Astyanax mexicanus: one gene and its partner. The protein of the gene in region 1 purifies or fractionates together with the protein of each later gene. This does not show direct contact. Links are inferred from orthologs where the notes say so. Each region holds a gene or a part of one and is shown on either strand. Other genes may lie near its edges.

What was found. The genes of interacting proteins can lie anywhere in the genome.
Region 2: the proteins of ss18 (region 1) and smarcd1 purify together in Homo sapiens (affinity purification with mass spectrometry; 5 studies listed by BioGRID and IntAct, counting the BioPlex papers as one, with this or other methods). This does not show direct contact. The link is inferred for Astyanax mexicanus from reciprocal best matches to the Homo sapiens genes SS18 and SMARCD1.

What each region holds. Positions count from the first base shown.
Region 1 is NC_064415.1:10,642,689-10,650,381, forward strand, and holds the start of ss18 (protein SSXT), read left to right. Parts: upstream 1-4,692; 5' UTR 4,693-4,802; coding exon 4,803-4,871; intron 4,872-7,118; coding exon 7,119-7,195; intron 7,196-7,693. UniProt on the Homo sapiens protein: Appears to function synergistically with RBM14 as a transcriptional coactivator. Isoform 1 and isoform 2 function in nuclear receptor coactivation. Isoform 1 and isoform 2 function in general transcriptional coactivation.
Region 2 is NC_064431.1:560,135-567,431, forward strand, and holds the start of smarcd1 (SWI/SNF-related matrix-associated actin-dependent regulator of chromatin subfamily D member 1), read left to right. Parts: upstream 1-4,280; 5' UTR 4,281-4,295; coding exon 4,296-4,529; intron 4,530-7,297. Other genes in the region: si:ch211-220m17.5 (guanylin family protein), read left to right, coding at 509-567. UniProt on the Homo sapiens protein: Involved in transcriptional activation and repression of select genes by chromatin remodeling (alteration of DNA-nucleosome topology).

The sequences.
Region 1 (7,693 bases):
TCTGAATGCACAAGACCTCAAACTGCTCAGTGATTACTCATATGGGCCTCAGACAGAGTTATCAAGTAACTATGTACAAATACTTTGTACTTAAGTAAGTAGAAATGTTGGCTATCTATACTTTAATGGAGTAATTATTATTTTACAGTCGACTTTTTGCTTCTACTTCATACTTTTTCACACACTTATTTAAAAATAGCCTTGTTACTTCTTTTTAATTTCAGCTTGTTTTCATTCCGGCTTCTCATTGTTCAATAAAACCGCAATCCAGATAAATCTCTCCATCCAGATAGAGTATAGAGAATCTGATTGTGATTGGATGTAGAGAAGTATAAACATATACCATTCCGACTCCCTATTGGTTTATACCATCACAGCTGCATACGTCACGTCCCCCCCCCCTCCCCCCCACACACACACACACACAATCCAGCAAGAACATAGCAGACGTATGTAGCCTAGTATGAAGATGATCCGTGCAGAGACGCAGAGTCTCCCTGAAGCTGCGGGAGTCTCCCGCATTTCAGTAGTGGCCCCCTGATGCCCGCAAGTCACATATAATCTCCCGGAATTCAGAACGAGTGCCCCAAGAGCGCACTGCACACAAACGCACACACAGGCGACAGACTTTTTTCTCCAATCGCGTGTGGGAAGGAGAGAGAGAAAACAGAGAGGATTCTCATTGGCCTGTTCTCTGCAAAGAGTCTGTGAGACAGCCAATCAGTTTTTAGTGTGGGCAGGCAGTGTTTTCCCCCCTCCCGGACGGGATTTGTTCAGTGAGTGTGAGAAAGCAGATCATGGCGGAGGCAATATTAATAATTATTGTAATATGATATGAAATATTTTTGATGTTGTGCAATTTTTTTGTGATATTGTAACTGTCATTTTTTGTCAAATAAAGGCTTTTTTTCAAAAAAAAGAAAAAAAGGAAAGCAGAGGCAGGGCCTTCCAAAAAGAAAAAAAGATAAAACTCATTTCATTTCACCTCTGAATACTCTAAATTTAATTTAAAAAACGTAAAATTAATTAATATAAAAGTAAAGTTTCGTTATCCTTTGGTGTGTGTGCGCAAGTTTTTTTTGCTTGTTTGTTTGTTTGTTTTTTTTTGGGGGGGGGGATGGGGGGGGGGGGGGGGTAACCTCCCTGAAATCAACTTTTGCAACTTGGGATGTCTGGAACTAGAGAACTCCAGACAAACTCCAGTCTAACTAAATTTCTTTAATATATTTACATTCTACTAATATACATTAATTTTCAATGGCATTTTTACACCTTACATTACTTTAACGTTTATACTTTAAGTAGTTTTGAAAGCAGTACTTTTACATTTTTACTTACAGAGTAAGGAGCTTGAGTTGATACTTTAACTTTAACTACAGAAGTATTTTAAATCCTACTATCTAAACTCTATACTTAAAGAGTGGATCATTTGGCCTCACATGGGTGAAGCGTGGGCTGGGTGGGTTCCAGGTAGGTATAGGATCTGTTGTTACTGGGTCCCAGTTGAGCATTCCAATTGGGTCCCACTGTTAGAGCCCACCTTAATTTTACATGGGTCTCATCTAGGCCCCAAATGCAGTGTATAACCCAGATATAGCCCATATTTAAACTCTCTTGGACCCATCATTGACATCCTGATGTGTGCCCAACATGGGCCCCATGGACTACATTTTTTGGGATCCAGTTGGGCTTTCCATACAGGCCCCACATGAGCATCGTATTTTGGAAATAATCTCAAACATTACTGACAAATCTATCCTGAAAATCCTAAAAATGCCAAGATGTAAAAAACAAGCCTAAAATGTTGTTTGTCTGCTCCAGAGATTTCTATTCTTTTGGCAGTATTCACTGCAAGTATTAGAAGGGGTGTTCACAATCATTTGCACAAATTGTGTATGGTATAAATATTCGCAATATAATTATGCATGATATAAATATTTTACTGAACTGTTTTCAAGAACTTTTTAAGGAAAATTTTAAAGCATTTCACGTCAGCCGCTCCACATGACGCCTTGGATGGTGAAATCCAACTGTTTCACTGTTTTCCATCTTTCCAAATTGTTGCACTTTGTTCTTGAGGATGATATGGAATGCAACTAGCCGCTGGTCAAAAGAATACTGATGAAGCTATTAACATCTTCAGATTCTTTGAAGTTTTGACTGATCGATCGCAGGGGTTACACTGTTACAACCCGCTACATCATTCCTCTCAGCAGGGCTCTGTCCAACCACCTTAAACAATTCTCACCCAAATACGACTTCAACTAACTCAAGGCTTCATTTACAAAGAGCTCTTACACAAATACTTCAAAGCCCAGACTGACCAGTGAAATTCAGCAGCACGCAGAAAAACAGGCAGCCTATTAAACCACCTGTCAGCAAAACTGGACTGAGCATTCTGTCTGTAGTCGTGCATCCTCTCTCCCTTCATCCTACCAGCAAATAAACAGAAATGCAGCTCTACACTTTTAAAAAGTTAGGTCTAAAAGTGTTCTTTGAGGTGAAGACTCCTTAGACTCCATAGACTCCTTTCAATGTATAGATCTAAACCTGTAAAATGAATCATGTTATCATTGTTACTATATGAGTACATTAGACAATAAAAAAAGCTTCAGTAATATTGTGAGTAAAAGCAAAAGTAAATTGCATTTCTCACGTCCAGTAACAGAAGGAGCACTTTGTGCTGCAGACTGTCTCACGTGACTTGACTTATTAGACTGGTGGCAGAGTGAGGTAGAGTAAAGCAGAGCAAGGTGGAGTGACATAAAGGCAGAGTGAGGGTGATTGAGGTGGACTGAGGCAGAGTGAGGTAGAGCAAAAAAGAGTTAAATAGAGTGAGGTACAGTGAAATATGGGGAGGAGGCATGAAAATATTAAACCAGAGCAAGGTGGAGTAAAGTAGAGTGAGGTAAAATGAGTCAGATGTAGGTAGAGCAATATAGAGTGAGGTAGAGTGATATAGAGGGCGGCAGCATGAGGCAGAGAGATATAGAGTGAGGCAGAGGGAGGCAGAGTGAGATAGATTTAAATAAAAATTGTTTTAATAGTGTGTTACTCTTTAACCCTTTGAGACCCTGAGTACATTCCAATGGGCATCTTGTGTTTTCTTCTTTACTTCATATCCTTTCACATAGCTCAGATTGAGACCTGCTGTCCTTCAGAATATACATTTATCAGCCAGTCAAACATGAGTTCAGCCCCGCCCACTGCACTGGAAAACAATAAAAATATCTACACACTGAAGTAAAGCACAGCTGCATCCCACTTAATGAGGTTTATTTTATGGTTTATTTTACCACTTAGAAATGATTTGTAAAACAAACAATTATATAAAAGATATATAGAATAAGAAAAAAGATATAGTTTTACTTGTTTGTATTACTGGAAATAATTCAGGTCTGAAAGGGTTAAGAAATGGCAATTTCTCTAACCCCGCTCTTCCTTTATTTCGATTTTCCATTTTTTTTCATACTAAACTACAGTGTAATTATTTGAATTGTATTTCATCTATTAGTATGTCTACTTTTAGTATGTCTCCTCAAAGATAAATGTGCTTCTTAGAAGAATTTAAAATAGAAAACATAATCCGGTTTCTTTAACACATTTTTTTAACATTGTTATTTTCTCAAAACAATTCTGCATGTGTTCCCGAATAGCTTTAATATAGTTTTTTTTTAATATTCACCCCGTTCTTTTTCTGCAGTAAAATAACTTATTTGCATTCTGAAAATGTGAGGGCTTTGACATTTCCTACAAAAAACACTTGTGCTGGAAACTAAAGGTTTGGAGGACATGAACTGTTTGATTTGTATTTAGGAAAATATTGATTTTTAAGGAATGTTAACTTTTATTATTATTATTATTATTATTATTATTATTATTATTATTATTATTATTACTATTTATATTGACGTTAAGGGAAGTGCTAACTTCATTTTACAATTACAATCAAAATTTGTAGTAACATTTATTATTAAACATGAAAGCTTTTTATGTAATGCTTCAATAGAAATCTTCAAAATTGAAAATTGACAAAAATGCTGACCTGTTAAGGGGTTAAATATACATTGTAAAAAAAAGCAGAAAAAGAAAACACATTAAAGAAGAGGTGGAGAAGAGGTGTGTCCAGACTTTTGACTGGTCCTGTAAGTATAGCTTTGGAAACACAATTCAAAAATATGAACCACATGATTAAACTCCCGCCATCTTCAAAAAACACACAGTTCAGCCCCTGAGCACATCTAATCCAGAGGTGGCGTGACCACAATAACCAGAACTACAGCCCTTACAGCGTCCTTTAAATACTAAAATAAAACTTACTATAACGTTACACATAATTTAATTAATATAAAACTAATATTAGCAGTGTTTTTAGTGTGAGTTTTATGTTTTAATGGTAATGTAAATCCTTATAAATAGCTGGAGCTGCCTGTGGCTGCTGCTTGTGTGTCTATTAGGACTGAGTTTTGGACCAAACCATTGTGGAAGAGGTGGGGACTGCGTGACCTTGTATAAATATTTGAGTAGTTCTAACTTAATTGTTATTAAATACACACATTTTAAAATTTAACGTCATTTTAAAGGTAAATTATGCGTGGATTTCAAACATTTAACTATGTTAATGTCCGTATTTAAGCGATAACACCAAGCCGTAGTGGAGTGACCCCCCTAAAAAGGGGAGAATAGAAGAGTCCACCAGGCTGCGCTGCTGTAGATAGCTGTGTATGTGGGAGATTTTTGAAGGCGAGCTGAGAGATTTTTAGTTTTATCGTCGGATTTTCTCTTTTTTAAGAGCTATAACCATGTCGGTGGCGTTTGCGCCTCACAGACAGCGCGCTAAAGGCGATATTACACCCGCAGGAATACAGAAGGTAATTGTTTTTAATACAGAAAAGGGGTAACAAACGAAACGGTGGCAATTGGTTTCTATGGAGGGTTGTTAGCCAGGAAGGTTGCTAAGCTAATTAGCTTAGCTATAGCTAGCGTATGTCTAAATATTGTTTTTTGAATCAATGTAATCTTTATTAAAATTTTGTTTTCAAATTTCCTTCTGTTAAACAATCCAATAAACGACCACATATTCTCATTTTAGTATATTTAAATGCGCTAGCTAGTTAGCTAACCTATAGCTATTGCTTAGCTAGCTATGTAAGCTAGCTAGCAAGCTAGGTTAGCTGTACTGTTAGCAGGCTAGCTAGCTAGCGCCTTTGTTAGCTAGTTAGCCCAAAAAACATATAAACGCCTTATTTTAAGAGAAAGTCTGGTCGTGTTTTAGCGTTAATAGACTTTTTACAGTCACTCAGCGTGATAAATTAAGTGGAAAATTCCAGTAAGGTTTCAATAAATGTGCTGTGAATTCACGCTGTAGCAGAAACAGCTCATGTAGGTTAACCTAGCTGGGTTAGGTTAGCTAACTAGCTAATCTACAGCTAATATTAACGTTAATCTGATTTGTTGTCCTTTCTTTCTCTGTGTGTAATTTAACATTATATTAAACCCACAGAGGGTAAATTTGCAATTTTACAGCAGCGCAGAGGAGAGAGCAGCAGTGTCAGGAAATATACATCAACATATAATATATATATATATATAAAAGAAAATAAACATTTAACGTTATATGTACATAACGCTAATAAATAATATCCCAGACCAACTGTTTATCCAGACATAATTCTGTAATAAAAACAGTTTAAAATCCTAATTGTAACATATATGGTACAACAACAATTTAAAGTTTTGCCCTAGAAGTCATGTAAACCTATTATATAAAACGTAAAAAAAATATTAAAGCATGTAAATCGTTCACATGGTTAAAACAGACCTGTAAAAGCAAAAGCACAAGCACTAACCCAGTACACTTACATTCTGTAAATGAGTATTTGCCTTGTTTTGACAGGCAGACAAAATGCATCAGAAGTAGCAGATTCTGCTTTTCAAATGGTCTGTTATGCATAGTGCAGTGATTCTTATTTAAAGAGGAATTTTCACTCTCTGTAATATAATGTGCAGTAGGGTTAGTGTTTAAGTATTGATGGTATCCTTGATATGTTTATTGTTAATGTGTTTAAAAAATTATCACTATGAAAAAAATATCAATGTATTGTCCAGATATATATTTGTAACTTGCAGAAGGACTACACACGCAAGCAAATGTTACATTTTAACTCTCAATCAACTGTGTACAAACAAAAAAATGAAAGGCTTCTTCTGAGAAATTTGTTTTTTACATTTTTGGGGTTTCACATTTACTTAGCTAACTCATCCTTACATAGACAGATCACTGCCTTAAACCATTTTAAATGCACAGGTTATATACAATAATGGATCTATTGAAATAAAGTATAAGATAGAAGTGTATATGCCTAGAACAGTTTTAATGTTATAGCCACTAAAAAAGAGCAAGGCACACATATGAACATTAAACATTAAAACATTGTGAATTATAAAAAAAAAATCTCTGAAGAATGTTTTCATTGGTTTCACATATACCCAGGGTTTAGACAGTTCTGGGGTAGACTTTATTGTCTTATTAAATACTCTGTAAAAAGGTTTAAAAACAGAATGGTGAATGAAACACAAACTTGCTTTTATTGTTTTGTGGACAAGCTTTACCGCCCCACAACCCAATTCTGGATGGCTTTCTACACCTGAACATCTCCAGAGCTTTCCATTTCATCCAAAGAGTTTTTCAGAGCATCATATTCTACTGGCAATGCATTTATTTGAAGATTATACAAATTGTATACACAGTTAAACATGTATATCAGTAATGGTTGCACCTTAATTACTGATTAGATGGGCTGTTCAACCCCTTCTACCCATGCCTTTGCATAATCCCTGTTTGAGAATCTGACCCATAGTGTTTTGAGCATAATTGAGTCCACTCCCACTGGTTGGGTTTGCCTGCCCAGGACAGGAGGTTTGCTTCTCGCACATATAAGCTGTCTTTTCTCTCTTGAACACATGAGGTTTAGGGTTAAATCACATGGTTAGAATTAAAAAAACATGTACAGGAATGAAGACTGTGGGTAACATTTTTTGTTTAAAATTTGTTCAGAGCTTTTTCTGAGGTCAGTTTAAAATGAGTAGAATTAATTCTAAACTTTGTTTCTTTCCAGCTTCTCGATGAAAACAATCAGTTGATTCAGTGCATCATGGACTTCCAGAGCAAAGGCAAAACTGCAGAATGTTCACAGTAAGTTTGTTTTTTGTACATCTTACACCATAAAAGGTTAATGCACTGATATGTTTTTTAGTTTAGAAAAAACGTAAGTAGTTGTTGTAGGTAGGACTGCAATGTTTATTTTGTACTAGAGTTGCACGGTGTACCGAAGGTTCGATTCTTTTTCGATACTACGTCATCACAAACGATTCGGTTCTTTAGCGTTCGATGCTTTCGATACTATATAGCCCAGTCACTAGCTTCAAATGAGTCAAAATAGTAGGCGCGATTTGATTCAATTCATAAGAAAACTGATTCACACCGCAGCAGTCGGTGTGGCAGGATTCAGGTAAACTTAGTGTTCTGAACAAATGAATCGATTCACGTGTGAATCGATTCATTTGACTCGCTTGAGCGACACACGCACGCGCAAGCCAGCAGAGCAGCAGCGAGAGAGAGCAGCGGCGAGTGTAGAATGGCGACGTCTAAAATAACAGATGTCTCTCGTCCGCGACTTGTGGACAAAACGGG
Region 2 (7,297 bases), on another chromosome or scaffold:
TTTCAGATCTCAAATAATGCAAATAAAACAAGTTCATATTCATAAAGTTTTAAGAGTTCAGAAATAATCAATATTTGGTGGAATAACCCTGATGGTTTTCAATCACAGTTTTTTTTTCATGCATCTTGGCATCATGTTCTCCTCCACCAGTCTTACACACTGCTTTTGGATAACTTTATGCTGCTTTACTCCTGGTGCAAAAATTCAAGCAGTTCAGTTTGGTGGTTTGATGGTTTGTGATCATCCATCTTCCTCTTGATTATATTCCAGAGGTTTATAGTTAGTTAAAATCAAAGAAACTCATCATTTTTAAGTGATCTCCTTTTTCAGAGCTTTATATATATATATTATTACACTCAGAGCAACCTATTTTAAGTGTTTATTTTTTATTGTTGATTATTGATTATGGCTTACAGCCAATGAAAACCCAAAAATCAGTGTTTTTAAGAAAATTAGCATTAGCATTAGCAATTAGCATCATTAACTGTGTTTTTTAACATGTGTTTAGCTGCTGTTCCGATGGACGTGTGTGAAATCTGTGCGTTTGCTGCGTGCACCGGCTGCTAGACCTCCATCAATCATCCATCAGACAAAGGAGGAAGATTTTCCATTCCATCAGTTCACTGTTCAATAAACACAAACCCCTACACACACACACACACACACACACTTTCCTCGCACTTACAAAAATGGCTTTATAGTCCACGTGGCAGCAGAACTTTTTGAACTGTTACTTTTTTGTTTGAAATCATGATTAATCTGGAATTTAGATTTAGAAATGTAGATTTACTGTAATTGTTTGTGTGTTACAGCTTAACATTTCACTTATTTAATGAAAGTAGGGTTGTCTTATTTTTCTACTGCTTATATATTTCTTGTGTTTTCATATTCTTATACGTGCAATAAAAGAGATTATAAAAAATACCAACTTTCTGTTTCTGTTTTTTCAGCTTTGAGTTTTACCTGTTAAACACTTTAAACCTTTTTAATTACATACTTTTACAATTTTTAAAACACGTTCACATTTTTACACTTTATACGTTTTCCAGCCTGTATGCAGGTGTGTATATGTCTTTCAGTTTTAACTCCATAAAGGCATGCATTTTTGTTTATTTTATACCTGATATTACAGGTCTATATATTGAGGATTTCTATTCGAGCTGAAGTAAACTGAAGTAAATCTGCAACTGTTAAAATAAAATTAATAAACTCATAAAATGGCCATTTTCTGTCCACAAAGCTTTTATTTCATTACAGTTGTAACTTATTTTACTGCAGATAAAAAGGGTTTGTATCATTCACACCTACAGCCTGTATACAGGTAAATACCTGTTATAAATAAAATATACTATAATAAATAAAACTATACCATAAACTATATTTATTAAAATTATGCATTGTTGTGTGACTCCAAATCCCATCTATGCTTTAAATATATTTTTTTCCATAATAAATCCTTTCTATTTAAATTATAAAATACACATTTTAGTTGTGTCCCCGTGTTGTGGTTTCGCTCAGTCCTGTTACATTACTGTAACACATTACCCTGATCATCTGAAACATCAGGAAGTCACATCTACAACAGGAAGTGACATCATCAGCTGGTTCTGGTTCTGAAGATCATGGGAAGAACAAAATTCCTAAAGTTTCCTCATTAGTTTTTTTTTCTGTATATTTGATCTTATTGTAACGATGACTGAGGAGCTCAATCTCAACACTCAGTCCTGTTACCCAAATTCATTCTTACATCTTATTTGTTTATTTTTAAAACACAAATTAAGGGAAAATCACCAGAATGTGCTCAGTGTCCTCATGCTATTAGCCATTTAGCTATTTTTCATGTTTATGCTAATTCTATGCTTAAAACTTGGGCTTTTTAAATGCTTTTTATAACCATCTTCAGATTAGAAACCTAAAGCTGCCTAAGATTGACCAGTACATATTTGTTTTAAATAGTTAAATATGTGTGTTATTAGATTAAGAGTTATACAGTTATACAAAGTTTCTTAGATGAATTATGAAAAAAGCAGTAATTCTCATAATAATTCAAATTTTCAGCTTATTATTAAAAGTAAAATCTATCTGCTATATCTGCTATATACACAAGGACTTCAAACTTCCAAAAACAATATTTTTCCTCCTTAAAGCCACAGAGGATTAAGAGAGGGATGACTTCTCCAAAAAAATATTTTCATGCAAATGTTACACGTCTTGGAGCACACTTTAGTTGTATATGTACAATTCTGTGCTGTTATTTGTTAGAGAACATTATAGATTATAGATTTTTAAACCTAAAGTAATACACCAGCGTTCTCACTGATAAACACATAAACATGATTCATCCAATAAACTCATAGACCTTTATAAAGAGAAGCAACAAAAACGAGCAGCTAATCTGAGACTGGGATCTGAAAGATAAGATTTTATTGCGTGTGAATTTACACACTATTCCATCACTAACTGTTTAAACACGCTTGTCGCTTCTCAGGGTGATTTAAAGGTGGAAATTTAGGGTGTAAATCTTGGATAACATAATACAATATTGTTTAAAAGCTTTGCAAAAGTAAGCCCCTCCCCCTCAGCAGTAACTCATCGTTGGATATTTGATTTTTTTTTAGATTTAGATACATAAAAATAAAGAAACCAGTTAATAGCCTCCTTATTTAAACAGCTCTATAACCAAACAACTGGATCTTATGAGGAAATATTTCTATCCCGATGGGAAAGTACACTCTAAAAAACAGAGGTACGATATGAGTACTTTTTTGTACTCGAAGGTACACTCTTTATAATTGTACCCTCAAAGGTACAATATTGGTCTTTACGGGGTCAGATTTGTTCCCTCTGAAGTACAAAGTAATTTCTAACAGCAATAAGTACAGATTTGTACCATTTAACCAGCCAAAGGGTACATTCAGTATTCTGCATCACTGTACTAATGAACAATATATATTTAAATTGCACATTTTTTATTTGAAAGCCAGACAATTTTGTATCATCAAGTTTTTGAGCCATATTTAGTTGATGATAATGTTTATAATCTTTATTATCTTTACTGCCACAAAAACCATGGGTACAAAAAAGGACTTTCACTGAAAGGTACTTTTTTGTACCTGAATATAAGGTACAGCCCCAGCGACAAGCTTTGTACTCTTTTAAGTACAAATCTGTACTTATATTTCTTAGAGTGTACTGTTCAGGGGTGTGTTTCCCAAAAACGAATAAACTTAGTGTTTTACAAACAACTTTATAAACATCTTAAACGCCTGTTACTTACAGTAAATCTATACAATGCTTATGATGTATTTAATCATTTAATTATAATAATAATTGCAATTAAATAAAAAGCCCATTATATGCCCAATGAATGGGTGTTTCAGCCTGAATGCAGAATCTGTTAGTGAAAGCCTATAATGTATAAGTGTATAAATGGTGGCAGAAAGTGTTTATGTGGCTGATGTGTGAGCAGCAGGTTTATAGGGCTTCTTGTTTGGCCAAAAAGCAGAAGTAATCAGATAAAATCAGACAATTTTATTATCAGAATAAAAACCCTGAGATCTAAACTTTCTACTGATAACTCTCCCTAAGTGCACAACACAAACCACACGGCCGTGAGCGCCACGACGCGGAGAATTCAGCACAACTATCATCACTGTCCTCGAGTCGCCATGTCACAGCACAGACAGAGACACCACCGGATTATATATATTTTTATTTTTTAATATTATTTTACATTCTGTTTATGTAAGAATTGCACTGGAAGATAGACAATTATTATTATTGTTATTTTGGTATTGTTTTTCCTAAGAATAATTCTATTTGAAAAAAAGAAAAAAAGAAAGAAAGAACTAGAAAAATGTCTAGTGAGGAAAGAATTTTTATTGTATTTTTGTAAACTTTTCTACCTCAAAAAAATATATATATATATTCCTAATGTTAAGGCAAACTTCATTTTATTACTGTTCCATTGTTTCTAAACAAAAATGTTGATTACAATAATAAAGTATTTTGTTGCACGTATAATATTTGGCAACATTTTATCCTAGGTATTTTGGATCCTTTGGATCTATGAAGATTAAATATTAAAAAGTGTCAGTATCGGTATCGATATCGGCAATACTGATCCGGTATCGCTCACCTCTAGTGTTCAGTATGTTATTGGAACACTGCAGGATTGAACACTAGAAGTGCGCTCCCTCCGTAGGGCCCTAGGTAGGCTGCATTGCATAGATTTGATCACGTGACGCGTGACACGGCGTGGTATAGGCGGAGCTCCGGTCGGTGGAGAGGAGAAGATGGCGGCGCGTGGAGGTTTTCAGTCCGGGGCGCCTGGAGCTGGAGGAGCCGGCGGAGGAGCAGGTGGAGGCGGCGGCGGTGGAGCTGGAGGAGGGGGTGGAGGAATGGGACCTGGACCACCAGTACCGGGCGCTGGGCCGGGCATGGGCCCAGGCACGCCGACAGGGAGGATGGGACCCGCAGGCGCGCAGAATCACCTGTACCGCTCCCCGATGGCGGGGCCCGGTTACCCGGTAAGAGAGAGAACAAAGAGCGGGGGGTGGCCAGCGGGTTACACTGCTTATCCGGTGCGCTGGCCTCGCTCTGATATCCTTAAATCCAGTTAACGGGTTTTGTTTAAGTGCAGTATTTTGAGTATTTGCTAAAACAGAGATCTGCTTTGTAAAGGCTCTTATGGATTCTTAATTCAGCAGCGCCTGTTTAGAATTTTCCGTTCCACCTTAAAAAACGTTATAGTTGTGACCTGGCGCTTGCAGAGTCGCCTGCTTTAAACTATTGCTCTTTTTAAGGTGGACTGGAGAAAGGCAACATAACGAAGCTAAGTTAGCCAATTTAGCTAAGCTAGGTTGAAATGATCAAAATTATGTTAAATTGTAAAATAGTGGTCAGTAGTGTGAGAAGAGATTAAAACGAACAAAGCAAACTTTAGTGTGATTAATAAGTGAATTACAGGCTAAAACGAGAAAAAGACGAACTAATAAATGAATTAAAAACTTGGCTAAGCTAACTCTAGCTAGCTTGTTAGCTTAGTTTAGCCTAGCCAAGTTGCCGGAGTTTATTAGATGGTCTAGGTCTAAGTTACTGTTTTTGTCTGTTTTATGGACCGAATATTAGTTAGTTAGTTCGCTTTTTATTTGAAGGGAAATGTAATAAAAGTAAGGAATCAATAATACCATTAGTTTTACGCATTTTTATGATGTAGCTATAGAAAGTAAAAATCCATCCCAGGGTTTTGTAACTTACCATCTGCCTAGGCGGATCTGCTGCAACTTGGCACAAAACCCTGTGATGGATTTTTACTTTCTGGACCTGGATCCCAGCTTTGTTTATGAATGGCCTGATGTGGTGTTGGGTAGGTTAGAAGCTATTTTACTTCTAATTTAGACACTTTTATACAATTTACAGTGTAAATAGACGATATTAGAGGGTAGTCCTTATATGTTAAGCTTAAGAGAGCACCTAAAAATGAGAGAACCTCTGGAATATAATCAAGAGGAAGATGGATGATCACAAACCATCGAACCACCAAACTGAACTGCTTAAATTTTTGCACCAGGAGTAAAGCAGCATAAAGTTATCCAAAAGCAGTGTGTAAGACTGGTGGAGGCAAACTTGATTCCAAGATGAACCATGGTTTTTCCAAATATTGATTTCTGAACTCTTAAAACTTTATGAATATGAACTTGTTTTCTTTGCATTATTTGAGGTCTGAAAGCTCTGCATCTTTTTTGTAATATCAGCCATTTCTTAGTTTTTATAGAATAAAACAACAATGTTAATTTTACTCAAACATAAACCTATATAGCAAAATTGGACAGGGACGTGTGCAGGTGTGATGGATCACAGTATAAACCAATAGGGAGTCGGAATGGTATATGTTTATACTTCTCTACATCCAATCACAATCAGATTCACTCTATCTGGATGGAGAGATTTATCTGGATAGGGGTTTTATTGAAGGATGAGAAGCCGGAATGAAAACCAGCTGAAATGAAACAGGAGTAACGAGGATATATTTAAAATGTAAGGAGGAGAAAGTTCAGATAACTGCGTGAAAGTGTCAAAATAATTACTCCAGTAAAGTAGAGAACCTAGATTTTATATTTTTAATTTTGTCTAGACGTCAGCTCATTGTGATAAATGTCATGCAACTTAATGTGTAATGTATACAATTGCGTACACAATCTGAATGGATCTGCATAGATATAAAAAGCCTGGTCTCCCGTGCAAAAAACATCTAAAAACATACAGAACAGTCAGTACTTATTATTAAAACATAATTAAGTTTTAGCTCAATAACTAACCATATATCAAAAGAGCTTTAATGCACATTTTTTTTTGTTGTTGTTGCTGCAATCCCTTAATGCTGTTCTGTAAATTGAATTAAAGTCCATATAGAGAAACTCACAGCTCTTTGTTTAGCTAACTTTAATAGGAAATTCTTGAATGTAATAATTGGCCACTGATAAATAAATAAAGTGATTAAAGTGATGCAGAGGGCCGGGGATTATCTGTTCTTGGGCTGGTTTGAATTTGGATCCATGGCTGGACTTTTGAGGATCATTAATTTTACCCCATTGCAGAAGCAAATTCAGTGTTGGGTTATAAGCAATATTTTTATCTATTAAGATGCATCAGTAGAGTGTACTTTTACCCTGATACCTCGTACATATTTTTCCCATGTGTGGCTGAGAGTAAACCATTTAAATAAAAATAAAATAAGAATTAATAAACTGTATTTGCTGTTAAATGGTTTGGATGGTGGTGTGAAAGCATACTAGTCATTATTTCCTCTGCCAGGCCTTTTTTCCCTCCTCATCTCAGGGACGTGATTCCTTCTAAAGAAACGTTTCTCCTCTCGTCTGCACGGCCTTGACAGCTTCCACACACAGTGCGCCGCGTGCGTCACAGGAATTCAGCGCATCTCCACATTCAGCGCTCAGGTAGAGCAGCGATTGTTCTTCTGGAGCTCCAAGGTTGTGGGGATGGGATGCTGTGAAAGACGGCGAGTTTGTGGCTTTCTGATAAGTAATGCGGCTTTCTGTACAAAGAGTGACGAGTTTTCAGCAGCCTCACAAAGAGCTGTGGATGCTTTCAGCCGCCGCTGTTGTTCTGCACAAAACGAGCAGAGCATCCCAGGAGCTGCTCAGAGCGTGATGCACCGGCCGGGACGCATGTCTGTGTGAGATGTGACGGCTGGAGTTTAAGCGTGTGTGTTGGGCTGTTATTGAGGGATCTGTGTGTGTTGGGGTGTGTGTGTATATGTGTGTATATATAGCTG